4 linked regions of the Drosophila melanogaster genome follow. The protein of the gene in region 4 purifies or fractionates together with the protein of the main gene of each other region. This does not show direct contact. Each region holds a gene or a part of one and is shown on either strand. Other genes may lie near its edges. The genes, in order: fabp, CG7668, CG2852 and CG10265.

The links.
Region 1: the proteins of CG10265 (region 4) and fabp purify together in Drosophila melanogaster (affinity purification with mass spectrometry, with the first as the bait; one large-scale study listed by BioGRID). This does not show direct contact.
Region 2: the proteins of CG10265 (region 4) and CG7668 purify together in Drosophila melanogaster (affinity purification with mass spectrometry, with the first as the bait; one large-scale study listed by BioGRID). This does not show direct contact.
Region 3: the proteins of CG10265 (region 4) and CG2852 purify together in Drosophila melanogaster (affinity purification with mass spectrometry, with the first as the bait; one large-scale study listed by BioGRID). This does not show direct contact.

What each region holds. Positions count from the first base shown.
Region 1 is NT_033777.3:11,559,669-11,570,773, forward strand, and holds fabp (fatty acid binding protein), read right to left. Parts: upstream 7,387-11,105; 5' UTR 7,320-7,386; coding exon 7,250-7,319; intron 5,444-7,249; exon of another isoform or gene 5,147-5,443; coding exon of another isoform or gene 5,116-5,146; intron 5,044-5,115; coding exon 4,772-5,043; intron 4,704-4,771; coding exon of another isoform or gene 4,653-4,703; exon of another isoform or gene 4,390-4,652; intron 3,625-4,389; exon of another isoform or gene 3,432-3,624; intron 2,629-3,431; exon of another isoform or gene 2,533-2,628; intron 1,538-2,532; coding exon 1,406-1,537; coding exon of another isoform or gene 1,184-1,405; intron 1,125-1,183; coding exon of another isoform or gene 497-1,124; 3' UTR 228-496; downstream 1-227. Other genes in the region: sea (scheggia), read right to left, coding at 497-1,124, 1,184-1,509; Mrp4 (multidrug resistance protein 4), read left to right, coding at 10,090-10,166.
Region 2 is NT_037436.4:20,001,159-20,008,727, reverse strand, and holds CG7668 (uncharacterized protein), read right to left. Parts: upstream 5,993-7,569; 5' UTR 5,811-5,992; coding exon 5,736-5,810; intron 5,426-5,735; coding exon 4,365-5,425; intron 4,312-4,364; coding exon 4,179-4,311; 3' UTR 3,894-4,178; downstream 1-3,893. Other genes in the region: Tom20 (translocase of outer membrane 20), read right to left, coding at 6,569-6,878, 7,292-7,367, 7,432-7,561.
Region 3 is NT_033778.4:22,641,934-22,649,162, forward strand, and holds CG2852 (uncharacterized protein), read right to left. Parts: upstream 4,412-7,229; 5' UTR 4,339-4,411; coding exon 4,249-4,338; intron 4,113-4,248; coding exon 3,988-4,112; intron 3,602-3,987; coding exon 3,199-3,601; 3' UTR 2,713-3,198; downstream 1-2,712. Other genes in the region: Ugt317A1 (UDP-glycosyltransferase family 317 member A1), read right to left, coding at 17-1,353, 1,410-1,497, 1,559-1,720, 1,872-1,874; CG30195 (uncharacterized protein), read right to left, coding at 4,760-5,042, 5,098-5,276; CG34446 (uncharacterized protein), read right to left, coding at 5,645-5,830; CG34445 (uncharacterized protein), read right to left, coding at 6,056-6,200, 6,261-6,520.
Region 4 is NT_033778.4:14,990,035-14,997,009, forward strand, and holds CG10265 (uncharacterized protein), read right to left. Parts: upstream 3,802-6,975; 5' UTR 3,718-3,801; coding exon 3,478-3,717; intron 3,395-3,477; coding exon 2,612-3,394; 3' UTR 2,489-2,611; downstream 1-2,488. Other genes in the region: pcs (parcas), read left to right, coding at 1-1,039.

The sequences.
Region 1 (11,105 bases), on a different chromosome or scaffold from region 4:
ATTACGTAGATAAGTCTCTGCCAATCTGTCATAAAACGCCTAGAAGTAATCTTAACCTCTTAACCCATTCCCCTTTCTTGGTGAAAGATCTAATCTGAAGTTTACTCGTTTGCGTAGCCTAATCTATTCTAGAGATTTACTTAGAAAACTGTTTACTATTATATAGTACCAATTAAAATATTCACGTTTTCATGCGAACTAAATAATCCAAAAAGCCTTACCTATTTCATCCAGTCTAGCTATGATTTATATGGGAACTTCAAATAGACTCTTCAGATTTAATTCAATTTTTAAAACAAGCTGTATAATTTCTATAGCCACTTACCCATTGCGGGTATAGAGTGTATATAAAATGCTTTCTTGGAATATGTCACAAAACTAGAAACTATTGCAACAGTCGACTAGGGAACAATGGGAACAGAGGAAAATGCACGAGTGGGTTTTTTGGGGTAGAAGGATGAACTAAGTAACTAAGTCGCCAAGCCGAATCGCCGAGTTACACCCACACCTTGTTGAACAGATCCATGAAGGAGTCGTAGATCATAAAGGTGATGGCCACATCCAGGCACACACGACCTAATCTTGGCACGGTGCCCTTGTAGAAGGCGGCGGGACCTTCGTTCTTCAAGATCTCCACCGCACAGTGGGCAGTGTTCTTGTATTTCGATGCTTCCAGACCCTGCATCCTCGTCTTGACCACATCCAGCGGCGTATTACCGAACACAGAGGCTGCTCCGGCGATAGCTCCAAACACTCCAACCACCAACTTGGGCACTGGCTTCGTGTGATCGTCACCCTTGTACAAATCCTTAAGGGACTCCAGTACGAAGAAGCGAATGGCCTGGTTGGAGCCCTGTTTCAGAATGGTGGGCGTTAGGCCCTTGTAGATACCAGAGATGCCCTCCGACTTGATGATTTGGCCAACGCCGTGGGCGAATCCCCTGAACTTGGGATTGCCGCTGCGCTGATCGTTGATGAACTTCACCTTGATGGTCTCCATCGGGGTCACTGCCACGATGGCCTCACATACGCCAGCTCCTAAGCCGCAAAGCAACTTTCCGGAGTTGCTCAGTTGTCCTCGGGAGTCCACGGCGTTCGATTTCAGGAATTCAAAAGCACCGAATCTGAAAGTTATCTTTTAATCAGCAAAACATGAACTATAACCAAAAGTTATATAACTTACCTCGCCGCTGACTTAGGAATGCTGCCGTAGACGAGCACACTGAGACCTCGGTAGAGACCCAGGAATCCACGTTCTCCCACCGTCTTCTTAACGCAATCAAAGATGCCGTTGTACTTCTTCGCCGCTCCCTTCTCGTCCAGCTGCAGTTGTGTCTTCACATACTCGGTGGGATAGGTGATGCAGATCTCGATGCCGCCCGTAATACCGCCGGCGACGATGCCCTTAAGGCCCACCTGGCCGCTGTCCGCAGCCGCCGCTCCGTGCTCCGTCATCCACGGACGTCGGCGGTACGGGCTGACAAGGGACGCGAAGGCGGAGCGATCCATGCTGACTGGGTGTTAGGTGGGGAATTAGCTGAAAGAAAATAGTAGAATTCATTTATTGTACTGAGTGAATTCCAGCTGATTTCTGTCCGATTGAATGTTATTTATATCCTATTGTTGTAAATGGATCAAAATAGACTCGTTCTGCGTGGGTGCGCGGATTTCAAAATATTCCCCAAAACTTGTATGAAAATATGGCATTTGTTCTTCATAGATAATGATATCTGAAGTATTCCTTATCATCTATTTAAACAATTTAACTATATCTGTGACGTACAATCGTGAACCGCGTATCTATGCGAATATCGACCTTAATTATCGTATTAAATGTTTGTTTAATTGCAGTTCTGCTCTACTAGTTATGCAATTTCTATGAGGAAAAGAATTCCACTTGGCTGGAATGGCTCCAGCGGGCTCCAATTTAAAGTTAGTAATCAATGCCATTATCATAGGTAACTTCCCATTGTATCGTTGACTCTCTTTTCCCCCAAAACATATTCATTTCACCTTGGGGACAAGGTTCGAAAACTGTGAACGAAGAGTCGACAAACTAACACAAACAGAGCGAAAAACCAAATGTTCGAAAATCTCAATAGTGATTACTTAAGATCGGGTGATATAGTCTGGGACGGTTTGAGTGGGAGCGGTACTATATCAATATCAGCAGGCTCGTTGGTTGTTTCGCTCTTTGCACTTGACAAATTAATATTGTTTCAGTGCGATTACATAACTTTTGCATGACCATAAATTATAATCGCACACAGTTGCAAGTTCATAATTATTCATTTTATGCCGCTGTTTAAGCCAATTTCCGTATCGGTCTGGAAATCTGGATAAACATAAACAATACCCACTGATAAGTCGGCACTGGAAAGTTTCTACCGACTTCCACACACACACACAGACTTCAAAAGCGGTTGATTAAGCCCACACCCACACACTCAAAGCGCACTGCTGTCTGGCAAAAGTCGCGCTTAATTTTTGCTCATGCAGCTTTGCTATCGGGTATTGTTCTCTACTACTCACATTAGAATTCAAAAAACCGAAATAATTATAATTTTGGAAAGCCCAGGCAGCGGTGAAGTGAAGTGGCGATGGGGACAGCGGTTGAATCTCAACTGATCGGGGCTACGAAAAAATTCCATTTTCCAATCGACGAGCGAAAGCGATACAGTGCATCCCGGAACTAACGGACTTTGGATTTTCAGATCCAACAGTCAGCAGTCCGAACAACTCTATCCCAATAGATTTAAAATGGTAGATTCTTCTAAATATCAAACTTTTTGTAAAATAAATTGAATCGATAGACTGAGCACGCTATTCTCTATAGTTCACTGCATCAGGGGCGCACTGTAATTCCAATGGTCGGCGTTTTGTAAACAACAGCACTTCAGCGGTATCCACTCTCCCCGCGCTCAGTAATGTACACAGTAAAATATTTCTATTTTGAAAATCAATCAGAAATTGAAAATAAAAGAAATGATACGTGGATCTATCTAGTAAACGATCCTAAACGAGTAACATACACATACATCAGTTCGATCCTAATAATGGAATATTAAGTTTCTAAAGATTGATTCCACATTGATAAAGGTATTTTGATAGCTATATAAGTGCGTTTCGATTACTTTATGGAGAACTTTTTTCTGTGCAGAGAGTGCGAAGAGTAGCGCCAAAGTAACGTTTTTTTGCTGACACCGCAGTGAAGATCTCTCTTTCTCTCTCTAATCGGAAACCCGTTTGTCCAGCAACAACAAAGTGGACAGAGCTTTTGGGGCGGACTGGAAAAGCTCCGCTGAAGAACAACAAGAAGAACATTTGACTTTAAATTTTGAATGTTAGGTACGCCGCAAAGTAGACCAACATTTTTTCTTTAGCGATTACACAATGAGTTCACACACACACAATGCGCGTAGCCTACGCACACCCACGCGGTAGTTTTATCCAGGTTATCAGAGCATTTAGTGCTACACTAATAAAATCGATAACGGCGCTTTTGCTTTTTAATTTATAACGCCCAATTGACCAACAATTAAGTGTCTACTATTTACCGACTGACGCAACTCGGCGTCATGCGGATACACGTAGTTCTAACGCCGCCGGCAAACGACGAATGTTAACAAAAAAAACCCGGCGAAAGTGTGGCCGTGCTGCCAACTGTCCGCTGATAACGTGTGCGCTTGCGCCAGCCCCCAAATGCAGCAGATGCCACCCACCCACACTTGTGGCACGCACTTGCAACAGACCCCATTCACACGAACAGTGCAAAAGCCCCAGCAGCATTGTGTTTTATACTCAATTAGCAAGAGCAAATGCATCGCAACGGAAACGGAAACGCGTGGGCAGAACATCCGCAGCCCAAAAGCAAATCAGAGACCATTCAGACTTGTGCCTCTTCTCTTTATACATACAACTTCAATAAACGATACAATAAGAAACGATAGTAAGAAACATGCTTTCTATAACCCCAAAGGTGGAATTTCTTTTAACAGTTTGAAATTTGAAACTTTATAATTCATATCGATTCAAAAATATGACCTCCAATTGAAAATGTAATTGAATTTGGTATTCTCGATCCCTTTAGCCATTGAAAATATGACACCCTACGAATTTCGGGATCCTTAACGATAACTTTCAAGCCAAACTAAAATATCTGGCATTGTTCGCCTCACAAACAAGCCACTTAAAAATTCTTTTTTAGGTAGGAACTAAAATTATTTCGATGAAAACACGTTACTTGCTTACTCACAAAACCGTAAATTTGGGAAATAGTTGGAAAAATGCCAAAATATAAATTTATAACTAAAACTAATATAATTTTGATTGCTGTGTCTAAGCTTACATTTCGTCATTAACCTAAGCAACAACAAGCTTAAAAGCGAAGTGTAAAAGAAAGTCGGAATGTTTTAAAAGCACTTCAAGTAATAGTTTATTCAAATGCATTCGGAAATTGGTCCCCGAGTACGAGGAGTATTCCCACATACACCGACTGCGGGTGTACGGGTGCGATTATAAATTAACATTGGGCAGAGCGTGCAGTTCCATTTGATTTGGTTTAGTTCACTGTTAGTCAACAAGAATATTGGCTATCTGAGTTAGTTTTAATGCATGTAGTCGTATGGATATTATAGTTTTAGATCAGTCTCTTAGACGGCCTTGTAGACGCGCACGCACTTAACGTTGCCGATGGTGAGGGTCTGTGGGGGAGGCATTGGATCAGTTAGGTGGGTGTGATGATATACGGCAAGGTATAGTAAGCGCTTACGGTGATCAGCTCGTTGTCGGTGAACTCGCGGACGATGGTGGTGGGCTTGTCGCCCTTCTGCTCCTGCGTCAGCTTGTTGCCATCCAGGGTGATGATGCTCTTGACGTTGCGACCGTCCAGGGTCTCCTCGTCGAACTCAACGCCCAGCTTGAAGCTGATGGCAGAGGTCTTGAAGGTGGAGGTGGTAGTCAGGGTGTAGGTATCGCCCTCCAAGGTCACCTCCACTGTGGGGCTCAGGCTGTTGCCCATCTTGCGCGTCACCAGACCGACGCCTGCAAGTGGAAAGGGAAAAGAAATTAATGAAGTTCCATCTCACGAGAATGTAAGGAAATCAAAGATCGCACCGAAAGATGAATGATGGGGCAGACTGCACATAATTGAATTAGCCCAACAAAGTTGGGGACCCCAAAGCGCTCACAATGCAAATCATATCATATTTAATTAAAAATAATAAAGCCGAGCCATGAAGTTCCCTGCAGATTCCGTTCCGCTGTAACGTCAAAAGTCGTGCTCAAGGTTAACGAACAATGCGGGCCGTCGTCTCCTCCCTCATCCTCATCTCCGCTCTTATCAATTGGCAAGCCCCTCCATGCATTTAAATATAGATCTGGCAAAGCACCACCTTATCTCGGTGCAGCATTCCATATATACATATGTTGTTTGAGGGCAGAACTGTGAATATAAATGCCATTCAAGCAGTGTAAATATATATTTTACTGGCTTAAGTGGTCAAGATCCATTTTGCTGACGTTCCAAATCGTAAACCTTTGAAGTGCTGATAATTACCATCGAAAGATAAGCAAAGCAATTCCATCATTAAATGATAACTTAACGATTGTGAACAATCAATCGTGTTTAAGTACTAAAATTTGTCACTTAATTTTATGGGACTTGTAATTACTGAAATACTATATGCATGCACGTAGCTGTATGAGTAATTTTGCATTTATATTTTTATTTGAAAGAAGTTTCGCCAAATGAAACGTTGAATCAAAAACAAAGTGTGAATCACTGGTACCTTACGAATGTGCCAGCAAATAGGGCACATGTATTATTTCCAATCTAGTACATTGTCAGACATCAAACCAACAAGTGGTCCAATCAATTATGTTCAATTATGTATGGACCACCACCAACTTGTTCTTTTGTCCAGTGCCCTCAAGTCAAGTGTCAACTGGCGTGGCGCGATAAGTCGCCAGGTTCCCACTCATGGGAACCCAGCAACTGTACCAGAGATCGATTTATATGCATCGTATATGACAGGAGAACCTTGAATAGATTAGACTGGCCTGCAATTGCGAACCGTGGTCTATGATAGGGGTGGCTGCCCAAAGTGCAAAATCCGTAATCGCGCCTAATTATCGTGCCTTTTGCGACATTGTATATACTACAAATGTGTGTACATAAATAGGCATATAGTTTATCGCATTTATATATGTACGACAACTGATAAGTGCTGCGAGGCCCCAACGGCAGGTTGATTTTAGATTTGTTTGGGCTTGAAAATTGAGAAGTACGTGGCTTTCGGACCAAGTCTACCATTAAACCGAAGCCGCAAAGTGTGTAGGCGAAAAGTTCTGACGAACTGGTGGTCTGGTAAATAAATCTGGACGCCCGTCTCTGGTTACCAAATGCCACTAGTCCCTATGGCGCGTCTAGACAGGAAGCGATGGTATTGATCAGTTTTAGTGGCACCATATAGTATAATCACGATTGCAATAGAAATTGCACTTTGATCGGTAAGAGAGTCGAATGTGTCCTATATGTAGTTTATATCTGGTGTTTCATTGTTGTCTAAATTGACAGCCGGGCAAAGATCATCGCAGCTATAAAGCTTGTAGTCTAGTGCAAAGTTCACTGCGAGACTTTCTCCCAAAATCTAGTACACAAATAGATAAAACCTGTCGCAAAAGCTAATGGCACTATGATGATTTCGGTCCCATGGAAAGCTGACGGAGGTGACTCAAAAAAGGGGAGCAAAGTTCAGGCCCCACACTTAATTAGTTTTTGGGTTTATGACTACCGCAGATAACCATTTACGGATTTTATACTGCTTGTCCTCCGATTCGCAACTGTAAAGTTGAGAAAGAGGGTGAGGTGAATAACTGGAGCACGTTTTTATTGCTGCAGATGTGCATCTCTTTCTCTGGTCCTATTCTCTATTGATTTTATCTGACACACACATACGCACATCAGCAGATTCAATGAGGTGTCAATTTATGCATGTAGCTAAACTATTTTAACAGTCGAATTCATTCATAATCTTCAGTTGATATAACATTTTCCGGAAGACATTTACTTTTTTCCCTCTCGTTTGGCCAATGAAACTTTTTGCACACTAGTGCGAAAAATGCCGGCCGGTCGATTTTCGGTGGCGTGTTTTCGGCTTCTTTTCTCTCCCTCCACTCCCGCTCTCGCTCTCTCGAGCACTTTGGTTTTCTATTTTTGATGCACTGCGAATTAGTTTTGGCAACTTACCCAGCTCCTTCATGTACTCATCGAAGTTCTCGGACTTGTCCAGCTTGTACTTCTTGCCAACGAAAGACATTTTTGGAATATTTGGTCTGTGTTCTGCACAAGATGTTCACTGTTGAAATTTTCTGAGCGAATGAAAAGCTCTGCGGCGTGCCGGCTGTTATATACTTTCGCGTTGCGGCTACGGCATTGCCAGATGCAAGTTAATGGCCTCTCGCTCTCATTTGATTCGCTCTCGTTCTGCGGCACGGCTTTTGCACGTTTCCTTTTTGTTTGTCTCACAAATTAAAAATTTAATGATGTGGCATCGGCTGAGCATCGGATTACCAGATGCAAAGCCAAGTACAGCCGCCAAGGTATCGAAATGTCGGCGCCAAGCCGTTGGCGCTCTTACAAAAAGCAGCTTTTTTAGGCGCTCTCCAAAAAAAATATTAACGGTTCTATGGGGGCCACCACTCCCCCTCACACCGCATATTGGTAATGGATCGGACGTGTTACTGCCACCCAACGTCTGACCAGCTCCTCCTGCTCCTCCCAGCACCCAAGCACCTTCACCTTGGCGCGATCAATTGGCTGCAGCCTTAATTGGTTCAAAAGCACCGGCCTAATAACGAACGCCACATTGTCATGCTGACAATGGAACTGCAATGTATCTCGCATTATACAGTCAAAACTTGCCTATTTTGGCGCGAACTTTAAACTTTTCTCCGAATTTCAGATTACGCATTGGGAAACCCAATGTGTGCAAGTAAGGAAGGGGAATTTATTTGAAACCCAGACTATCTCACTTTGTAGTACAAAATTATTATTAATATAATATCAAGATTTAAAATTTTAACATACATACACACGTATATTTTATTTAAAAGGATATCCGTTATCCAGGTTTCTGAGTCTCGACTGTTCGCCCCCCATATATTCCGAATTAGTAGACTTTTTTCTGTGGGTCAGTGGCACCATTAAAAGAATCTCCCGAGCTTCTACATTTTACCAATGTGTATAAATAATTTTCGACACAATTCGTTTATATTATTGTTATGAATAACTCTTGATAAGTCGCCGGTGAATTGTAATCTAATCGAGGACTTCCTTCCACCCATGGTCAGGCAATGCAATATTGAGATTACCCACGATCTCCATAAGCCTGCCCATCCCGTGGGAGGGCCCACCTACATGGATACCGACTTGTTTGTTGCTAAGCGTTATCTTATTAATTCAATTAGTCCATGATCCCGCACCCCCCTCACCGATCATCCTTATTATTGCATTGATCGTCATAAATAAAAGAGATTACGGGGGTTTGCCACGAAACATACTTATGTACATAATATGTACTACATATATTATTTATGTATACCAATAATAAGTAACGTCTTGATCAATACAAAATATGATATACTCTCAGTATATCTTTATATATATACTTCTTAATGTGTATTATTTACTGGAGTGGAAGAGCCAGTCGAGCTTTTTTAGTTTCGCCAGTGACTTGAATTTGACCGACGAGATGTGGGCCCTCCAGGTCAGTCCCCGATTTAGATGAACTCCTAGGTAGCAGTGCGATGTGACATTGTTTCCATCAAAAGTCAGATCTGTGCAAGTTCCGGGCCGCAGGGTAAAAGTTACACAGGCTGACTTCGAGGAGTTAATGGCCACATTCCATTTGGCAGTCCATTTTTCGACTGCATGCAGCCATTCCTGGACTGCGTTGAAGAAACATGCATTTAGTCATTCGGAAACTTTAAAGCCCGAAAGTATGCAGCACAAAATCGTAATATCAACTTTTCAAAAAACCTCAACTAACAGCTGCGCTCAACTAGTGCGGTAAAGTAGTTAATAATAAAATTTGGATTTGTAATGGAATGGACAAATAATGAGACCGTGCAACAGCTGTTGCGTTTGTAAAACTTTAGATACAACATCTATTATCTGATCCTAACTTTATAACTACAAAGTCCAAAGAGTCAACAGCTTTATCGGACATGTTAGAATAATGTTTGCCAGCACCATAAAAGTGTCGTATCATTGTTACACGTTGGTTACTACTGCAAAGTGTCGCGCAAAACGAGGAAAATATAAGTTAACCTGCTTATCACTAGTCTCACTAAAGACTAAACAAATAACCCACAAACAAAAGAGATCGAGAATAGTGCTATGAAAGAGCGATATAAAGAGAGTGGCAAAGAGTCTAGTGTAATGGAGAGCCCACCAAGAGCATTGGAGAGCACCCACAAAGAGCGCTGATCTTAACCTGGCACAACACCTACCCAGAGAGTGACATGTATTTAAGGTGGAGCCCGAGAGCGGATCGGGTCAGAACGAGTCGGACCTTCGGAGCGAGCAGATAGTCGTGGGTAGAGTAGCGCGCAGTGCCATGTGTACTTCGATACGTTCGCGATAAGTAAGATGTGCTATGAACTAAATCACATACGAAATACAAGGCAATCTATGACGAAATACGCCTGCAACAGATAGAAATACCGAATATCTCCGCGTGAAGTGATCTTTTTTGGAACCGTGATCTCGCAGCAGCACTTCTTCCAATCCGAATGCCACGCAATATTGAAGTCTGCATTGTGCCAGTGGAAAAGTTTACTTCCCGCAAACGTGAATAGAAATCGAATTCGTAGATCGGAATCTGAAATCGCTCGCATTTCCATCTGGTTTCTCCTCGGCTAATGCCAAACTAATTATATTAAAATAGAGCGCGTGTCCCCTTTCGTATCGAAAAGTGCTAATCAACCGCCGTCGTCCAAAGGCAATCCCGGTGACCGAGCAAGTCCCCTGTACTTGTAATGCTACACTCTATATAGTGCAATTTAGCTCCAATCAGTGCAATCAGCATGCAGTCGATGAAAGCCGATGAACTGCCGGAGAATCCACGGGAGCGATCCAGTCCCCTCTCGTCACTTATGTTCTGGTGAGCGTAGAAATTATATCTTTCTGGGCATTTCGAGACTAAATTTTTATTTCTTTTTAATTAAATGGTTTGTCCAACCATCTCATTGCAAAAAGAATAGAATATATATATGTATATGTATGTGGGTTATAAACTTAATAGCTCTAATAGAAACCAGTTTACAAGTCTATTAATACACATATTCAAAGATCATGGCATTGTTAGTAAACTAAAATCGAACATTTTTTTTCGGCGCGATGATAAGAAAAAAGCACCCATTGATGACTAGTTTAGGTGTTATTTATTCATGTGCTTTGTTGTGTGTGTGTGTGTGGGGGGGGGGGATTTGGGGAGCATATAACGTGACAACACTGACAAGTTGATTATTTCATTCAATGGTTCGCTTAATTCGCGTGACCGAGGCGACAAAATCATTTTGCATTTCACGGGAGCTCGGATTCCCATTCAATTGGTTACCAATTGAGGGCGACACTTAGCTAAGATCCATTTTCAAAATTATTCCAGAGGAAATCTAACAGCGCTAGGTACAGAACTAGATATCCAAAGGGGAAAAACTGCTGACAAATGTTATGAATCATTGCGATAGAACACATAAACTTAAAACGCAACAAACTAATTTTGATGTACAGCTTCTGATAAGATTCCTTTTTGACATAACAGAATTTGTTTATCTTCGGCTAACGTATAGAGCTTTTATTTTTTGTTTATGTAATGTAATTATTTAATAACATATAAGATAAGGAACTCTGAACTGTTCTTTTGTGTCCGCGTATCGTAAGATATAGATTCATTTGCGTCAGCAAATATGGATGCTGTGAAAATGTACATACATGTACTCTTTTATTAATAAAACATTCGGTTTTACTGAGATAAGTACGGTAGTTATTAAAATTGAACTTTGTATGGGTTTTGCGCAGTTGCATAGAAGTTTAATTATTA
Region 2 (7,569 bases), on a different chromosome or scaffold from region 4:
GTTTTCTCAAAGCCGAATTCGGTAATCCCATCCGAAGACATTGGTTTAAGCTCAATTTAGAATTAGGGATTTAAATATTAACGACCTACGAGGAAATATCTTAATTTTTTAATGTTCGTAATTAAACAAATTGTTAATCAGATAGGCACAACACAATGTAATGTAAATCACTCATTGCGAGGCGAAATCAAATATTCGGCTATTTAACACGTCCAGTTTTAACCATTTTTTATGGTACATAATACATTTACATAATACATATAATTCGCATAAAATGTGGAAATGCTCCAATGATGGGAAAGCATTTCAAACGGCGGACGAGATGGGCATCTCTACGTTTGGTGGAATTTGCAATCTTTCTTCTACATAATTGATTTAAAGTGCTCCATTTTGTCTAACCGATTATATCTACCAGCAACAATAGTCGTCTATTAAGTGAACTGTTCAGCTTCTAATTTTGGCAAATTTGCGCCACTGTTCACCTTCCTTTCAATCTGACAATAAGTGTTTAAGCTTAACAACTTTTGCAATGTACCTGATTTAAGGCTTAAGAATTGTGCACAAATGAAGCAAATTGTAAATATTATAACATAAATAAACAAAGAGGTAAAATTATAAGTACATTTCAATAATGTCACTCTTAAAAACTGCTTGTTCATATGGCACAAGCATAAATTTAAATTTTTCCCAAAAGATGATTGGGCGTCAAGTAAAATTGTAAGAGAAGCCTTCCGCAATCGATTTGACCTAGATTTTTTTTTTAAAGGGGCACGACCAGCTTATCAGCCACACTTCTGATGTCATTTATAGTAGTTTCTATAATTAGTTGGCTCGAAAATGCGTGATTAATGTAATTCACTTTGCTTCCAAAAACAAAACATTTTCTATCTTTAAGGCTTATTCACTTTTAAGGAAACACGAATAGAATTCAATGTAATAGAATGATATGACAATAACCGTTTAGAACATTTAAAAAAAACTGCTGAAGATAAACGGGTGTATGTCATGAAATTCTCATTTTGCACTTGTGTTATCTTTGAACTTTATTCATTAGTAATATTTTAGACACAGCCTACCAATGCCACCATAAATTACTCGAATTCCAAACGAATTATAATGTAATGATGCCCTACATTCTGGATGGTCTTCAAATTGTAAATAATCACAAGGAACGGGAATTTCTCCATATCTTGATATCCATGTAGTTAGGTTGTACGACACAAAGCCCTCTTACTTGACACCTTTGCCAGATAAGAAAAACTAATAAACCAATCGTGTGAAAAGTAAAGCTTCATTTTTCCTATAAAACTGAATAAAAGAAGTGTTTGAAATATTTTTCATAACACGTCGCTTTCAAGTCTCAAATTTATTGTTTACAAATTTAAAGAACCGTGAAGGTAACACTTTTAAAATGAATTTTCACTAGCACAGCAGATCAGCATAATCACTTGACTGAGGGAGCCACTTGTTGGGATGTTGGGAGTGGAAATTACGAGATTTTCGACTTTTCGATTCATGAAAACGTGAAGGTTGCGAAATTGGTGCGGCGCGTAGGTAAATATGAGTAATAAGACCCTAATACACACATATGTATGTACATATGTATAAGGCATGAAAAGAAGTCGAAACGGGTTAGCGAGCACAGGCCATGTGAATCACTGAGTGCTTTCAACTTTAATGTTTATTCAGAAGCAATGTCTGAGAACTCTTCTTAGCTTTTCTGGATTCTCACTCCAAAAATCAGTCCACAAAGTCACACCATTACGAGCACTAACTCCAATTTTTACATAGCAGTGCAGCATTTACATACATACATAGGCGATGCATATGTACATAGCACATCGGTGTACAAAGATAACATGTGTCTCTTTTTCGTGGGCCTAATTTTCCGATAAGGTAAGTAAACAAACACACGCACACACATCACTCCGAATCGCCGTGATAAACTTCGTGCACCTGGCACTGGGTATTTTATTGGCTTAAAACACAGAAATGCACAATTCTCGGTTGATATATCTTTTTGGAAAATGTTTGGTCCACATACAAACGCACTCAGGTACATATGTGTGTATACCTTTGTAATTTAGAGTGGATCCCACAACTTGTCTGGAACTATCTAATATTCGGTGTTTTCGCTGGTTGCTCGGTAACTTCGGGGGCGATCACTTTCATCGGTTTGTATTTTCATTCATCTCTGATTTCCGGAACTCTAGACGCGGATTACACACTCACATTAATTGGCAGCTGCATGTACATATGCACCACTAACTACGATCGCCGATAACTCCGCCCGCTATTGCTCTCTCTTGAAAATGCTAAAATCGATTGCAAGAATCGAATATTGCGAGACTCGATGACAGCACCGATAGTGCGTAGCCGATAATTTCCAGATCGATTATACTGCTAAGCGCGAATTGACACGAATTTAAGCGAGGCCTTTGTCTAATAAATACAAAATTTTCGAACAATACAAAAAAATCGCTTTAATAACCTTTCAACAAGTGGTCAAAACCAATTGTCAAGACTAATTAAATGTTTAAATTATTTGTATGTTCGCCAATAAAAATAAATTCTGAAACAAAATAATTTCCTTCACGAATAACTCTTTATCTTACGTTTTAAAGGGCTGCATTTAAGATAACAACAAAATTTGTAATATGGAGATATTATAAAAAATAATATTTTGGTTTTTGTCGAGTGCAATTTTAAAGAAAGCACTTAACTAATTAAAATGAAGTCCTATTTATTTGGTTCGCCTACAATATTGTTGTTGCTTTGGTTTCTTCTAAAGGAACATATCAAACTGATATGTGAAAAAAGTCTTTAAACTGTATCAAAATTTGGAAACAGCTTTATTTAAATGCTATAGTTTTCATTAAAAACATGGATCCCTGGCAATATATTTGGGTGTCAATTAAGGTTGATGCCCCCTAAAAATATCACAAATCACTAGGACGTATACAAGGAATGGAACCCTTTGGTTTCCCATAATCCTCATTGCAATGGCTTCGCAATTCAAGAAATGTAGCCCAGACCATCGCAGAAGTTTCCTGTGCGGAGGTGTATGTTGTGGTTTATTCCACTGATTTTTGGTTGGATATATTTGGTTTCTCATTATCTGTATCACCACAGGGGGTTATGCAACCCCAATTCACTGTTACACTTATATGTAAAGCAATATTATCGTGGACTATTGGTCAACTCGGACGTATTTGTGGCACACAACACGAATACGTACATATTTCTGCATTTTACAGATAAACATCACTTGCACTGGAAATGCGTATGGGCGCAGATACATTTATCGACTCGCGTATCGTCGCCTAAGCTCGAGTCATATTAACGGAACAACGCGACTTTCGATTGAAACATACTTTCCCTTCTCATTCAATTGCTACCGACGACGCACACCGTTTACTGCGATTTAAAGCAACTTAAACCGCAGTCAATGAGAACAGAAATTCAACTGATTCGACTTTTCGTTTCGAGGTCCTAACGAGTTGGGCCATGTCCTGCGCTTGCAACCTCCAGCTGCAACCTCCAACAGCAACTTCGAGCTCATCCGGACCAGCTTGAGCATGGAGCACCCCTATTTCCCCTTCTGTTATTGAGTCCTTTGACCCTCTCTGGTAAAAATATCCCAGCTTTATTGCGGAGAACATGCATATGTCTGACTTGTTACATGTTTTAGACAAATGTATTTGTTATTGCTAAATATTTTGTGAGGCTAGGAAAATGCTCCACTTCACTGTTAGATGCAATTTGTTGCCTTCTGCAGATTTTTATGTTTTATTTTTTTTTTTTCTATTATGTATTATTATTACTATTTATCAAAATATATTTATATTTTATAGAAACTTGGGCAATTTAATACGGCATTCCTGCGATAAAATCGATTTTATCAAACGCGCCATCTGGTGGGATTTTCATGTAAATTTCCCTCGACCGTAAAATAACAAAGTCGGTATTATTACGATAAAAAAAATACCAAGCGAAGCTAGATTTTACTTGCAAATACAGCATACAGCATTTATAGGACCTTCAAGCCTGTTATCCACTCTTTGGTCGACACTAAAACTTAACATTCTACAATAATTAGGCTGAAAATGAACAGGTAGAAATTATTTTACAACTTTTATTTCCGTGACAATGTTATTTGACAAGCCATTATACTTGGCTCACGGCATTGGTCTGATTAGCATTTTGCACGACTTCAGGGGATATCTATTACCAACATTCCAATTACCCCACCAAATGCCATCGGTCGTGTCCAACTCAACTTTGGAATTCCGATATTTTCCGTTCAAGTTACTGAAAAAGAATTATTTTTCAAAATCATTAAACAAAAACAAGTTCATACATACCAGTTCATTGTACCCCACCATTTCGATGATTCCATTGCAAACGGATTTCCAACAATAATATGGTTTATATGACTGCGAAATGCGTCGCCAGCATTTCCTGAGTATTCGCCAAGGGAAAGCAGTTTGTATTTCTGTTTTTCATCGCCAATAACAAAATTATCATATCTTGCATAAGCACTAGCATTGTCGAAATCGACGAGCTGGATATATAGTTCCATTCGTCGATGTGTCGTCATTTTATGCAATTTTTGTAGGCCAAGCCAGAACTCGCCACCCAAATCCCCACAGCCCGTTATTATATTTGATTCAGTGGCGTTATCGAAACTGCCATCGATTCTACGCTGGATTATCATCCAACCACGACCGGCAGAAGGAATATCCTCGAAAACTGAGGCAAAGGGTTCGAAATCAGGTAGTGTCACCAATTTAATTGAAGGCAACTTGGAAGAGCCCAGTAATACGAATTCATCGTGGTCCTTATTATTAACGTTATACTCAGACAATATCTCTGTCATTTTCACTATCTTTTCGTCCTTCGCCTTTACTGCACCTTCCAATTGCACAATTTTTAGCTTCGACTCGTCAATTTTGAATTCTAGTCTGGCGATTTCCGCCTCTTTTGAGTTCAAAATTTTCTCGATTTCAACAATCTGATCATTCCCCTCTCGAAATTTTCCATTTTCCATATTTAACTCCTTTCGTTCTTTCACAACTTTATCATGCGCTGGAGCACAATTTCCTCCATCGTTCTTCTTAATTGTAATCCTACTCAAGTCGAGATCACTTTGCAAGTCCATAATTTGAGTTTGTAACTTCTGTATGGTCATTTCTTTTGTTTGCGTTACTAAGTCAATCGACAATTGCAGGGTCTTAATAAAATCATCCTTATCCTTGATGCAGTTTTCAAGTATACTGCCCTTCTCCTGTTGGGCCTTCAGATTTATTTCAGCCTCCGCCAACTTTCGGGTGAGTTCCGATATTTTCCTCTCATCTTTTTTCTTATGTTTCAGCATTCCCCGTGCACTTGTGCCCACAAATTCCATTTCCGAATCACTGCTGCTCTGAAAAACGAAAGAGTATACAATATTCGCTGAGAACTATGTGCATGAATTCATGATTACGATCACTATCGGATCTGACTGAGTCTATTCAAAGACACTAGAATCGGAATTTGGGGAAGTACATATAAAGCGAAAAGTTTTTATCAAAGACATTAGAATAATAAAGACATTAGACATTATTATTTTAGTGTCTTTGATTTTTATTTTACTTGTGAATTTATATCAATACACCAAAAGAATTTTCAAATTTCTCACACGTTCTTCTCTATCTATGTAAGTAACGAGAATCGAGAAAAATCTTATTGCTCACCGAATTGTTCTCAGTGCTGGAATCTGGAGAGGATCGCGAATTCTGAGAAAAGTTGTTCTGGTCCTCCGGCTTCATGGGGATTAATTTATCAGCACCACGTTTTATCGTACCTAAAAGCACTCCAAACGGAATTTGCAATAATCCGTGCAATAAATTTAAAGATGTAAAGCAAGTGCCTATATTTGTAACAACTCAAAATACAAAAAAATCCGATGAATTGCACGTAGCTGTTTAGCTCTAAGTGTTACCAGATATGGACTGAGGGAGTTACGCAGTCCGGCTAGAACATGGCATAGGGGGTATTCCGTAAATTTAATTACTGGGTATCATCTTTGAAAAGGAACTTTTGCATTTTCAAACTATTGCTTTAAATAAGTGTATAAGAACCATTTCTCATTTGATTAAGCTGCCTAGATGGCAGTAGTACGCTTTTCCTATAAATAATCACTTATATTTAAATACCAAAGAAACTTTGGAATACCTTTATTATCAAACCGGTTAGGAGATATATGTATTTATTCCCAAGATATTCAACATGTTAATAATCTTTTATTGTTGATAAACTTTCACACACTTTAACACATACCCTGTTATACATACATATTGCAAAACATTTAGGTCTGCAGAGTTGATCTTTGATATTCGCCTAACGTAAATACCACGCACAAAACAAAGCTCAATTGTTAAGTGTTAACAGTTTACGCATATTTATTTGTATGTATTGGGAACATCCAGAGAAATCAATATATAAAAAAAATATAATGTTTATATGTGAAGCCCTTAATTTCTACTGTTGAAATTTATATCTCAATTTCTGTAGCCATCTCCAAGTACTATTCGAGGTCGTCGATACTTGCGTTTCCAGATGAACACTCTATAATTTTGGCTCCGTCCAGTTGTTGCTCCGAGCTCTGCCCCAAAACGATTGGCCCGTCGTTGCCCTCGGCCGCTCGATTGCCGAACTCCTGCATCTTGACGATCAGCATCGCGAATACTTGAGCTGGAAGGGAGGATTGCAGCACCTGCAGCAGACGAGCCGGCTGGCCACACACGACGATGGCATTCGCCAAGTGCTCCACGCCACTCTCGAAATCTCCGCGGGCGATCAGGGTCTCGCCCAGCTGGATTTCTTGAAGGAAATATCTGCAAATATCATGGTTTAATTAGTTTGGAACAGCTGATTCGATGCACACTATTACGAATTAAATTAATGCCAGGCAAATTAGGTGCATATAAATAATATAAATTGTGCACAGTTGCAACAATAATAACTATTTGTATATTCAAATTATGAATTTCTTGGCAGGAAGCCTGCTGAGAATCCAAACACTGAAATGTGCTTGTTAATCCAAGGCAGTGGAGTCTTTAGATGCCTGAGGCAATAAGCAGCAACACGATGAACACGCAAGTGTAATGGGACTCCACATAAAATATGTACATCGATTTGGCTGGAGAAACATATGTGGGCTTGTTTGTTTGAATGGAGGTGTATTGAATCGCCAGGCACCACTACACGTGCCACATTATATAATGCGACTCCCATGGGAGTGTCCTACCTTTCGATGGCTTCATGGTCGTTCAGATTGGGAACTCCAGACTTGGCAGTGCCGGTTTTCTTGTTGCGACGGCGACCTAGGAAGTGATGAAATGATGAGTTTCTTTCATAATTCAGTTGGGGCGCAATGGGGATTCTTACGCTCACGGACTTTCTTCTTGTACTCGGGATCGCTGCGGCGCTTCTTGTCGAAGTAGATGCAGTATCCAATAAACAGAGTTCCAGCTACTCCCGCTGCAATGCCGATTGCAGTTTTGTTCATTTCAATCATATTACTAC
Region 3 (7,229 bases), 7.7 Mb from region 4:
ATTCAAAACTTTAAACCTAATTTACTTTGGTCGACTTGGAGTTGTTTTTCTTATTCCAAATATAAAAGCCGCCAAAACTCAGGGCCACCAGTAAGCTTACGACTAAAGTAGCTATTCCGGCATAGAACACGAAGAGGTCGAACAGGTGCAGCTGGCAGGAGGAGATCCCAATGCCTCGGGTTCTCAAAGCCGATCCTCCCTTGTGCCGGGCCACATAGTTCACCCAGAAGAGAGCGCTGGCCAGAGCGCCAAGAGGACGGTCCCTGAACTCCAGAGACACATCCCGGATGGTCAACTGGAAGTGTGACTCGAGGAGTAGCCTGTCCACTGCCCAGTTTAGTGACTCAGTTGTCACATTGCCCTCCTCCAGCTGTAGGCCAACTCCTAATCGCACGGCTAGCTCCATGTTCCGAGCTTCATGCTGGAATAGGGGCAATCCCAGAATGGGCACATTCCGCATGATGCCCTCCTGCAGGTTGAGCAGATCTCCATTGGTTAGGAAAGCCTTGACTCTCGGATGCGCCAGGATGTCTATCTGCGGCACTGCATGCTGGATCATCACATTCTTTGGCAGTCCCTCCAGGGTCTTGACGTCGTGACAGGTCCAGATTATGCTCTGCTTTCTGGCGGAGAAGAAGGCAAACAGAGTGTCGAGTTTCTCCTTGGGTAGCTGGCCACAAGCCTGCTCATTGCCCAGTTGAACGTAGATGGCTCCAGGACGCGCCTCCTCCAGAAAGCGCTTCACATTCCAGGGCAGCTCCTTGGGACCACGGATGTGAAGTCCACCGGCGGGAATTATCTGTTGGATACTAACTTTGGGAGTTATCAATGGCACATGACTATTGAGCAGCAGCACGGATAGCTGGCTGGCCTGCAGCTCGGGGATAGAGCTCTGCAGCTGGAAGTACTTGGTCACCAACTGCTCCTGACCGCCGTAGTGATCCTTGATGAACTGCTTACGGCGAGCAATACATGTCCGAATATTTCCCAATCGTACGGAGAAGCTCATTTCAGGTTGATCCCGCTCAAAATCGATGGGTGAACAAGCGGCTGGTACCAGTGCCTCTTGTACGGCATCCATGTAGTTGCCGAAGTCCGTGGAAATAATCCCTACAACTGGCCGCTGATGGAGAGCTCCCAGTGCCAACAAAGCCTCTGTGTAGAAGTAGTCCACAAGGATCACATCGAAATCGAACTCAAGATATGACATCTTCAGCAGCTTTTGGATGGGCTCTTGGGCGAGGAAGTGGTCCAAAGCACGCGCTCCAACGCTGGCCAATGACTGGCGGAGTTTTTCAATTGGCAGGAGTCCAAGATCAGCAAGGTTTCCCTTGGGTGCCGCCTGTTTTTGCACTGTATGTGGATATTGCTATACTTCGTGAACAATCTTCTCCAGACGGCCTACTCACATTCGCTCCAAAAAGGAAATTCCGCTGTCACCGTTTCGGTAACGTTATCCAGAGATTCTCCCAAACCATGACCGGTATATACTTCAATCTAATTCAAACAACATTCTTTTCATTTCTTAAACGTTTTAAACGACAGCACTGCCACTTACTGTGTGCTCGCGATTGGCCAACTCGGTGACCAGAGTCCGCATCACCGCAAAGTGACCCTCGTTGACATGGGGAAACAGTACCAGGATCTTGGCTGCCTGTGAAATCTGGCCCAGAGCTAGTCCCAAAATAGCCAGCAAGATCCAACGATTCCATTGAGATTCCTATATGGTTTAACATACACACAACTAATTAGGTCATTTCCGAAAGTACACATCATCGAATTAAAGACAATCTCTTCTTATCTGTCTTCCAGTAGCTTCGAAACTATTTGGATGACACTTTTTCTAGAACTTCTTGCATCCGTTTACCAACCATATTCCCTATTATCAACGATCAGCTTGGGATTATACTTAAGTTCCGGCCGTAATGCAATTGCATTCGCCGGTAAACTCTTCCGGTTGTATTGAGTTTACGAATGAGACTGAACTTATCGCTCCCAGCGCCTTGACTCCCCACAAAAACAAAACACTCAACTGATTGCTCTCGGGAATATAATCTTAGAAGTACGTCCAGAATTTCTGTGGTCACTGGAACATGTGTGGCACATGAGATTGCCACCAGACCCCAATACACATGCGTTTCATATAGATCCTATTGCTTTCATTAATGTATACACAGCGATTGTGGGGTCTGTGAAAGGGGTACAATTGCACATATGTACGTCTTCATATATATGTACATATACGATTCCCCACATTTGAACGATATGAGATCGTCTCTTCAGTTCTTGGTTTCTCTCGCTCTAAACAAAAGATTGGGGGACGTGAAGTCTAAGGATTGGCAGACATATGCATTTCTAGACAATGTTGTTGCATTTGAGTGCATTCGCTAATTGTAAAAGTTGCCAATTCATCAGCGTCTGAGATCTGAAAAATTATGCTATATATAATTAGTTACTAGAGGGCTGGTTTCGGGCTTTCACCTCTATATACATGGGATAGTATAGTATGGTATGTATATAGTAATCAATATTTAGTCCAAGGGTTGTGAAAGGAAACTTTCTATAAAGAACAGGATACTTGATCGAAAGATGAGCCAGTGGCACTTATTTAAGTATCAATCGACCCGATTAACTTCTGCAGAGACAGTCATGCACCTGTTCATTCAATCATATACAATTAGTTCCCAGCAGGCCCAAACAAACTGAATAAATATACAAATGAACTCGTCTGTGTGTTCTTTAATTTGTCGCAAGTGTGCAAATCAGAAAAATGTGACGAACCGAGCGTTGTTTATCAACAACAAAGAGAAAAAACAGACAGAACATGGGCAATCTAAATCGAGAACGGCACAACATACAAAGGCAAACAAATTGGCGAAGAAGGCACAAACCGGTTGCCACTAAGGGAAGTCAGAGCCAAAAGAAAGCGATGGAACCAAAACCGGTTCATTGAACCTGCACACCACCGGCATCATGGTATAGACACACAGAACGATTCCAGCTCTTTATCACACAAAAAATCATTCTTTATTTATGCCATTTCTGTTTTTAGTTGAGCACAATTACTTGCTTACGGAACGAAATGTAAATAAACATGGCGAGCTATGGTAAATGCAAATGTCTGGAAAAATCGATTATGCGTTTATGCTTAGTTCAAATCGGTTATGTTGCTGATGGATGACATGCTCCCCAAACACTTTAGTCGGTGGCATCGGCCTTGGCCACGGAGAAGGCCTCCGAAACGGGCAGGGTGCCGCTGTTGGCGATGACCACATCCTTGACGGGACGGTCGCGGGCATCAGTGGCCGAGTTCTCGATCTGGCGCACCACATTCATGCCCGACAGGATCTTGCCGAAGACGACGTGGCGTCCATCCAGCCAGCTGGTCTGCTTGGTGGTGATGAAGAACTGCGATCCGTTGGTGTCCTTGCCAGCGTTGGCCATGCTCAGCCAGCCGGCGCCATAGTGCTTCAGCTTGAAGTTCTCATCCTCGAAGCGCTCGCCGTAGATGGAGCGACCGCCGGTGCCGTCGCCCTTGGTGAAGTCACCGCCCTGGATCATGAAGTCCTTGATGATGCGGTGGAACTTGCTGCCCTTGTAGCTGCGGGGTATAAGAGCGTTGCATGATGGTCAGTTTTGTCAGCATGGGAATTTAAATTTAAAAAAAAACTGGGTTTAGAACTCGAAACCTAACCAAAAAAGAACATGCATACTTATAAATTCAGAGAAGAAAAAAGAAATACCCAAGAACTGCACTTTTATAGTATGGTAGACTTAATAACAGTTGGCGTTCTTTGTTAACCCATTAGTGCCGCTTTGTCAACTGATGTATGCGATTGGCCGCTCAAACGCCACGTAATTGCTTCAATCTGAGAGCCCCGCTATAACCTACAAAGTGCCGCTGATTAGCGGCATCTTTTGCTGGCCTAGCGGTACCTGGCACCCTACTATGTTGGGGTATTTTCGGTACTCAAGTACCCTACTCACCCCTCGCCCTGCGGCTTCAGCGCCAGCTCCTTGAAGTTCTCCACCGTCTTGGGCACCGTCTTGCCGAACAGACCGATCTCGATGCGACCAGCGGGCTCGCCGCCAATGGTGATGTCAAAGAAAACCTACGCAATCGGAAGCGGTTTATTATTAACAAGTCATCTCACTTGATTTATGGCGCAGCAAATGTGTGTGTGTGTTTGTGTGTGTATGTACGTGGTGTATGCAGAATGTAAGGACGAAAGTCCAAGGAGCACGCACCTTCTCGGTCACTTTGGGACCCTTGCTATCGTCGGCAACAACGACGCCGGCCACCAGGGCTACCACGAAAACGGATAAGAACAGCTTCATCGTTCTAAATATTCACAGCGCTTCAGTTTATTCCTCAAGCGACGTCGCCAATGGATATTTCACGACTGAATTTTCGGTTTCTGTTAGTGATGTAAGAAAACTTTGTTGCATCGCCAATCGATGTTTTCCATCGTTTTTTATGTTTTTGTCGAAATATCGATGCTTAAGTGTGACCATTCGATGACGATGTCTGATGATCACACATTCGGGCGGAAAATTCAAATTCAAATAGTTAATACGCCGAAAGCATAAGTTAAGGTTTTCGTACGAAGGAACAAAGTAAGTTCGAAGAGTTGACTTTATTGGTATAGTTTTTAATATTTTAGGGATTAGAAGTCCAGTTTGCATTAGCACGTAGCATTCTCTCTTGTTTTATTGACGGTTCTGTACACAAAAAGTAAGTAAAAAAATATGCTTTTATTTATTGGTGTACTGCTATTTGCGTCTGAGATTTGTCCATATCCTTGGCTGCCTTCTCTGCTCTCTTCTTCTCCCTGCTGGCCAGAACTTTCTCCCTGGATTTCTGGGCCCTTTCAGCGCAATCCTTGGGTCGTGTCTTCAGGGTCATATCATCCACGGCCGCCTGTTTACGGGCTGATCTCGAAATGCATCGTTCCATGCAGCTGATGGGCACAAATCTTCCAATGAAGCAACCGCAGTGTGAACAATAGTGATTGATGTCCTGGCGGCCAGACCATTTTTTACTGAAATAAAGTGAACATTACGAAAGATTTATAAAGCTTCATGCAGATGGCCAACCAAAGTTTTGTGAATCCCAGAAATCTCTGCAGGCAAGTGACCAACTCCAGTTGCACCAAACTGGTTCCAGACTTCTCACACGAAGGACAACGGATCCAGGTGGGCTCCTCCTTCAGGTATCCCACTTGTGGCTTGTGGCTGACAATGATGGCCACAATCTGCGGTTCGTCCACGGTCATGATGCGAGTTCCAGCGAGAACGATCGGTGACTGAAAGATGGATCAAATTTGGAGAGATCATGGGAGGGAAAATCAAAATCAGAATCACTCTCCCGATTTCTCTTAACCGAGGCGTTGGTCTGGTAATTAAGTTAGTGCATGGAAATCAAATGAGTTATTCTCTCTGCGTTACAAATGCCATTGGATGTACAGTGTAAAAAGTATAGTGTACATTTTGAGCATTACACATTAAATAGTAAACTTTTATTCGTTTCAAACAGCAGTATATTTATTATTATTATTGAATATAAATTAAATGACAAAACTGATCTACATTTGTTCATTGTGTTATAATAATTCGGATCCGATGATCCTTCTTCAGTGGGTATCTAAAGTTGTGGACGGCGGTATACGCCCAGGTACTCCCCGCAGGCACCGCAGTGATGCCTCTTGGTGCAGCAACGCAGCCAGGAACGCACCACACGGGTCTTGGCCTTGGTCCTGCAATAAGGACACGTAATGTCGTTGGGGCCGGGGCCCACGGCAAAGTAAAGTGGTTTCGGATCCTGAGCCATTTCGCACCGAAAGATGTTGACTGCTTTAAAAACAAACGCAGACTGAGGCTAGCGAAGAGAAATTGTAGGAATAAAATGTTCAAATGATATGCAAAGAGAAAAAAATCGGCCCAAAAAAGAGAAAATGTGATATTTTTGGCTTTATTTTTGTTTCGATGGTATTGCAGTAGTGGGTGGGAAATTGAGTGTTTAGAAGAATTTTAATAAATATGTGAACAATGCTGCCTAGGCGGTGGTTGCCTTCAATTTGAGTGGTTGCCTCCTCTTCATGGAACGTCCAAAGTAACAGCCGCAATTGCCGCAGTAATGACTTCGATCGGTTTGTTTGCACGGCACATAGTAATTAAAGCAGCAGCAGCAGCAGAAGGTCCTGTAAAAGTATTTTATAAGTTTACGTTTCCAAGAAATAGGAGAAAGTAAGGCAACCTACACAAAAAGACATCCCACAATGCGGTTTAGTTCACTGGCCCACCACTTCAGATCATTTTGCACCACACTCAGATCCTTGATTCCGCAGGCGGGGCACTCGATCTCCACGGGCTCGCGTGGCAGGTTGAGAAAAGTGCCTGCCAGGGGCGTGGCAAAGTTCTCGTAGATCTTGCGCTCCTTTCGGTCCTCCAGAGCCTTGGCCTCCCGCTCCCTGATCTCCTGCTGCGTTTCCGCTTCCTTCTCCGGCAGCGTTGTCGTCATGATCGCTCAACAATCGAACTGAAAGCGAAACGCTGCCAAGCACGCTGGCAACCTGTTTCCAAACTCAAAAGAGAACGTGAGTGCACAGAGAGAAATAATATGGAATTTTTGGCCAATATATTCCCCCGGTTTTCCGCCCAAAAATATGCAGTTTTTTTGATCGAAAAAGTAAAAATAATGAGCCAAATATGGAATGGGTTACATCGTTGAATTCATAATACAATTTTCTATCGACTGGTGTTGAAGCCTTAGATTTTCAAATTTTCGCCTTTTTTTGCATAATATCATGATGTTACCCCTTATAAAAAATGCGAAAATTAAAAAAAAAAAAATTTTGAAATCAAACTAAAAAGTATTTTCCTTCGTTAGTTTGCTTAATTAGGTGCACAAAACAGTATTTATCATAGCATTGTGACTCTTTTTTCTGAACTTATGGAAAAAACACTGTTTATTGAAAATGTACTTGTGATAACTTTGAGTTTTTGAAAAAAAAAAAAACTATGAATAAATTCTCAACAGTTAAGCTATATAAAAAAAGTATACTTTTGTTCTCAAATAGTGTTTAAACAAGTACAGGTTTTATTTCTGTAAGTGTATTTTCCAACTCTGGCAAAGAGTATGAGTATGATTTTTGAAAGAGCATAGAAAGAGCAGCGGCGAAATTGATTTACAGTGTGTCTTTAATTGAGTTAGACGCGTAATAGAATTA
Region 4 (6,975 bases):
CCAGAAGGTGATGGATGCCGAAACGCAGAAAGCCGACTGTCATGCTGAGCACCAGAGGCTCACCAAACTTTTTAACGCCGCCGAGCAAAAGCTGCAACAGCTTGAGGATCGTTTTCGTCGTAGCATCAACAAGTCACGCCCGTACTTCGAAGAGAAGCAGGTGTGTCAGGATCAGCTGCAGACACAAAAAAACCGCATTCAGGAGCTGCAGCAGCAGGTGGCCGGTGCTAAGAGCACCTACTCCACGGCCTTACGCAATCTGGAGAGGATCAGTGAGGATATACATAGGCAGAGGGGAGATTTTCCCACTCCACCAGGACCCCGCGAGCCGGGTGTGGGAGCAGAGTTAAACTCTCCGACTTCCAGTGCCTTGCCATCACTGCCCGATTTCCAGCTGGAGCTTGAGAAGTGCGACTATCCCTCCATAGCGGGCAGCCAGATGTCTTTGGGCGCAAAAACTCCCCAAGCAGCTGCCGAAACTGAAGATGAGGAAGATGCCTGCGACTACGATGAAACGGGAGCCGGGGAGCTCAGAGGTGTAGTGGATGAACGCGATTTGGAGGCGCTGCGACAGAAGGTCAAGATCCTGGCGGTGCGTCCCATCGAGGGCGGAGATGGACAGCAGCAGAACGATGTGTGGGAGCATGAACTGAAGGCCACGGTGGACAAGCTGGATCACTTGATGATGCTGAAAGAAACAGCCAAAAGGCAGCAAACGAACCGCTTGAAGTCCACCGAACAGCGACCCGATTCATTGGGCGCCGAGGCCTTGAAACGCCACTGCGATGTGGTCGAGGTGAAGGTCACCTCTTGCGCCACCACAGCCAGCTTGCCAGTCACACCCCATCACCAGCTGAATCACCTTGCACCGCCCACGCCCATTAAGAAGCTGCAACAGCAACTGGCGCCCTTGCCCTCCGTAAACGTTTCCATGCGGGAGTTGCCCCTGTTGGCCAGGTTGTCCAACGAGCTCCTGGATCGCAGCAGTGCTGCTTTCGGCGGAGTGCGCAAGACGCTGCGTAGGCGCTCTCTGGAATAGTGAGCAACTAGGGGGCCAGAGGAGACTTCTTCAGCCAGCCCCATATCAGATTTGTTTATATTAAATGAATAATGAAAAGTAATTGTAAAACGTTGAACGCCGCATTTAAATGTGCACCACTATCGATAAGTCTCTACACCCACAGGATATAAACACCAACTATTTTCGTATAAATGTTGATTACATTCTAATCTATTGTCTCCGTATATGTTTCTCACTGTTAATACTTTAACTATGTAAATGTTTTGTGATTCGAGAGAGCTAAAAAGAAAAGGATTGAATGATATGCAAACAATAAGCAGCTTTAAGTTAATGTTAAAACCCTAAACTAATAAACCCAGGTAGACTCACTAATTTAATTCAAATGGGCACATGCACTAAGTAGTTTAGCCTAAAAATACCACGAAAATGAAACTCTGAATAAAAACAAGTGTCGAAATGTAACGAATTCAATTAGATAATTAAGCCTGAAACTCTCAAAGCTAAATGTAGTGGATTATTAAAAGGAAAATGCAATGCAGTTTTGTTCGGTGCCCGAGAGTTAAGTAAGGAAATGAACTACAAGTATTTGAAATAGAAATAATATTGAAACTTGAAATGAGAATAAAATTGAATTCTAATTCAAATTTATAGGTGTTTTACTGGCGGATTAAATGTATATTAAATTATAAGTGCTTTAGTAGTGGGACGTACCAAGATTGTTAAAAAACATCTGTTTTTTAAGTCTGGGCTTGGTGACCTTTACAGAGAACTAAACTTAAGGTTCGCTGTCAATGATGCAACTGCAGCCGAAATATTGCAAATATTATAAAATTCACCAAACAAAACACAAGCGGTTCTAAAAATTTCAAAATGATGTCATTTTCACTGCATTGAATGCCAAATCTAAGGTGGCAAAATAAATATTCTGTCCCCAAATTATGTAAGCCCGAATTGGCTGCCATCGTCGTCAGCTGACCTACCTTTTAATTGGTACCGCCTCGGCAGGTGGGTGTGCACACGCGAATTTTGGATTTGGATTCGGCAGTGTTTCGAGTACTACAAAATATATATAACGCCGGGCGCAAGCACAAATATTTCCAATTACTTTCGACCGAAACGCGTGCGGCACCAAAAATCAACAAGCTGCTTCTTCTTCTTACACAGTGATGCCAACTTTTCAGCTACATAAATGGACAACATAAAAAAAGCTAGGACTGTTAACATTTTGTATGGAACATGTGATTACCGTCTTCAAAGTATTTAAACGGCATTGTTTGAGTGATATATAGTTTTAATTATTTAATATAGTTCAATACATTTATAAGCTAAATAGCCACCACTAGTGTATAGTCGATATATTAAATCGATAACGTTGTCGCATCAAAAGGTCACACTGCTTGAGCAAAAAAACCAAAATAAAACATTTAAAATTAAGCGATTTGATAATAAAGAGACTCGCTTGCTATTAAAGTTATAAACGCTATCCGGGAATTTATTAATCTCCATTTAAATTAAATAAAGTTATATTGCTAAATCCTCGCCTCCAGAGGCACATTTAATGGCACCATCCTTACACTACGGCGAATACAACTACGATTTTCTTACTTTGGTGCATCTGATGCCCTTGGATTGCAGTTTTCTCATGATGTCCAAGGTCTCTTGATTTTTGGTTGGATTTAGCTCAGTCGTGGCATTCAATTGGGTACTTGCTCGCTTCACCTCCACACCGCATGCTCTGAGTTTGTTTAGGATTTTCTGGGTGCCATCCAATGGAGGAGTTGATTTGCTTGTTATGGTAGGAACTGGTTTCTCGGGCGTCTTGGGAGGTTCTGGTACTTCAGATATCCTTGAAGAGACTGGTATAATAAGCTTCGATGCAGGAGAAAATTTCATGGGTACCAATTGAGATGTTGACTGCGTTGTCCCGGTAGCACGAGATTGCAATGACCTTACAGGATGTACAGGAGCTGGTGGTGCCTCTGGAATCCTTTCCTTTTTCTCCGTGTCCTGCAATCGCTTCAGATCTTCCAGCACAGTGGGCACCAGAATGATGGCCTTTTTCATCTTTACTGCTGGCGGTTGAGGGGAAGTCAAGCAGGCACGGGATCTGCGCTGCTGCTGGGAGGTCAGAATGGTACGTCGGGTGGTGGGAGGGCTACGCGGACGTTTCGCAGGCACCCCTTCCGGTTCCTGAGGCTCCTTGGCGAGCGGCACTACATCCTCCTTTACTATATTTTCCTTGGAATTTGTCTTTGGTATGGTCTGCACGGTGGGCTTGGGATTGGTGTACCAGCGTGGATCCTCCAGCTCTGCCTCCCAATCGATGGCCGTGTTGGTGTTCTTCTTAACCGCCTCCAGGTCGTAGATGTGAATCTGCAAGAAGTGAGTTCAATCAAAAGGATTCTCAGGAAGTTTTCAGGGCAACGCCGGATCATGGAGCTCCCTTAGCTGCCTACCTCCTGTCTGCCATTCACCAGTCTCGTTTCCCGATTGGCATCATCAAATGCCAGCGGTTCGATCGGCGTTACTATGTATTTTACTCCGGGGCAATCGGCTAGGTGGCGTTGGAACGATTGGAGCGTCATAAAGTGGCATTCGCAGCTGCGGCACAGCGTTAGAAGTCGTTTTTGGTCGTCGTATAGAACGTCGCCAAGGCGAATCGTCTTCATGGACTTTATTTTACGCGATCCATTCATTTTTTTTGTAGCCAATTCGCGCCAAGAAGAAAAATGGTATTAAAAAATTATTTCAGTTTGTTTTTGCATTCGTGCAGAGTGGCCAGACGTTGAAACGTAGTAGATGTCAACGATTTTTAGTTGGTACAAAATCTGACATAAAAATACCAAACAGTTGCTATTCATTTTGTTGCGCGCCTAAATTCAAAGCACACAAAAAACCAAATAGGAAAAACACATTACACATTAAAAAAAAAAACATTTAGATATAAGATTTGATAAGGATGACGATATATAAATGGTATAATAAAATGTTTGGAATAATTTAATATAAATATTATATAAATAATTTATGTTTATATGTAGTTTTGCTCAGATTGATAAAAAATAGATGAAAACATACTTTCACTATGTAAAATAGAACGATTTTTTTGTTTACGGTTTTTGGTCCATGAATCGAAAATTACTGGAAAGATTTTATTTGAACTGCTCCTGCTCATTTTTTGCTGCATTAATAGTAACTCTCTGCTTTCTTTTACATTGTCGAATAAGTGGACTAGCGTTTTCTTTGTTCTTTTTCCCGTGTTGGCTTTTGTTTCCTTTGATTAACGCCCATGCAATTGAAATTAAATCGCTTGCAAATGATTCGCAAGCTACCTAAAAAAAAATTGGGCAATCCAAAAAATGACATCGTTTATGCAGCCGGGGACTGCGCCATTTGTAAGCTTGCCATTTTTTCGACCAATGTGATATGGAGCCATATGGAGGGAACATTGTCTGATTTTGACTTCAACTCGAATGTCTGTCTAGTGTGTGTGGAAAACAAATGAAAAGGAAATCCAGCACTTTTTGCGTACCTACATATATATTAAATTTTTTTTTTTTGTTGTTGTAATGTTCCGCATAACGAGCACGGACCATGTCGAACCACGTGCAGCATAATCACCCGGCAGAGCGTAGGTGAGTATCGTTGGCATATTCTTGATATTTTTCAAACTGGCCCACTTTTGGTTGAATTTTCCTGCTATTCTTGCAACTTAATAAGTGAACTTTAAAGAGCCGCATCGCTTACAGCCCGGAAATTGTATGGATCTGTGGGTCGCAGCTCCAGCGGCAATTGGATGAAGTTGCCGATGCTGATGAGGCTGCTCCTGCAGTTGCTATTCCTGCATGCAATTAAGCCAGGGACGAGAGCGAGGCACAACTTGCCACTCTGTGTGTCCCAAAACTGCAAGCTGACCATGCAAATTACGTTGCCCACACTCATACTTGCACACGCTCTGCTACACACACGCATTCCTGTCGCCTCGTTTGGGGGCCTGCGGGGCTCCCCGGCATTTGAGTGATGCACCAAGTCGAGGAAGCGGAGAAGGTGGCCAGCTAGCTGGAACCCCATTGCCGCTGCCACTGCCACTACTACTACTACTACTAACTGCCACTGCCAAAGCTAAGTTAAATGGACCTGCGGTGCACTCGAGCAGCCAGGACGCAAACTACAGTGGATACCGCTTAAAGTATATAACTGTTATTATTTGTATTGTTTATTGTACTGATCCTAAATAGAAGATATTAGCTTCCCTTAAAACGCCTGACTGTGCTGTGATGCTTCTACACAAATTAGACACAATTCGAAACTAGCTTGTTGGCTGCTAACAGTTTGGATATAGCCAGGCACCACTGTACGCCGTGCATGCAGATTGAAGTGCAGACCATGTCAAGGTAGCGGCTGCAGCTTTGGCCAGTAGATTAAATTAAACGTGGCAAAGGAGACGGCGCCAGAAGAGGACGAGCTCCGTGGCTAGGTGGCTCCATGGCTCCATGGCTGCATGGCTCCGTGACTCCGAGGGCTCGCCAGCCAGCCAGCTTGCCAGGAGGAGCAACTGCAGCCATGCGATGGCAATGGCAACGGCAACGACAATGGCAACAACATTAAACGTGTTTACACCATGTCCGACCAGTTGATATGCCAACTGCCCCCCGACCTGTCCTGCACCCCACCACACACACACACACTCACTGGCACACACACACACATAGGGATGCGTAACCAGGCATGAACTGCTCTTGGACAATGAACACATGCCATGGCAGGGCATTACCACCTACCCATCTGTCCGCCCAGCCGCCCACCACCCACCACCCGTCCACTATTGTCCTGCTCTTTGTTTACTGTTTTTCAAGGGGTTTCGCAGCCGAGTGAACTAGCAAAAAAAATGAAAGCAAAGAATCACAATCACTGCATACTTGCAGGTGCAGCTGCTGTCATAATACAATAGAAAAGCTGGCGCTACAATTGCCACAGATGTTGTTGTTGCTGTTGTTGTTGATGTTGGTGTTGTTGCTGTTGCATTGTTGTGGACTGCGAATTAACTAAGGCCACCCCATCACAGTTCTCTTCCCCACTTTTCGCTGGCACTATTTTCAACATCTTGGCCGTGCGACCACGTTTTCGTACAAAAATGTTGCATACTTTCCGCAGCTGCACAACTACATATATGTATATAGTGTGTCACAGTATGTGTATTTGTGTGCGAGAGTGTGTGCATGTGTGAGTTGTGTCGCCATGTGTTAAGTAAGTTCGGACAAGTGGCTTTTCCAGGCATTTTCCAAGCACCTTCGCCCGACACTTGTACTGTCACTTAAGCCAAGCATCAAGAAAATGTCATTTTTCATCTGAAAGTAGTGCACAAAAACATTGATTGCAACACACAGTGCCGTCCTTTTGGTTTCACATTTGTGGGCATTATCAAATCGTCTTGGCTTTACTGCCATTTAATTTCATGGTCGGAATTATTCATTCCATTGGCTTGTATAAAATAAACCTACTCTTTTCAATTAGCAAGCTGTGAATTACTTTATTGGTATATACAATAAATAATAATTACAAAACGGAAAAAAATCATGCCTAAAATGGGATAACACTATGCATTATTATCTGTTGAGAACAAAAGTTAGTTGTTTTACCTTAGATGGAGCATTAAGATTAAAATTATTTATTAATATCTTTAGAATATTAATATTTTCATTGACTTTAGTTGGTGCGGGTTAAAAATTAAGAACGCCACAAATTCTGCTGCGTAATACAACTAATGGCCACATTTACAATGACAAACACGGTTGTGTGTTCTAGGCCAACTTTTCCCAAGCGACGGACCAAGTTTGCCAGTAATATATGTGGGGGCATTGTTGGGCTTTCAACTGGTAACTGGTAATTGTAACTGGTGACTGGTGACTAGCAACCTGGAAGCTGCAAGTTGCAAGTTGCAACTGTCTCACCGT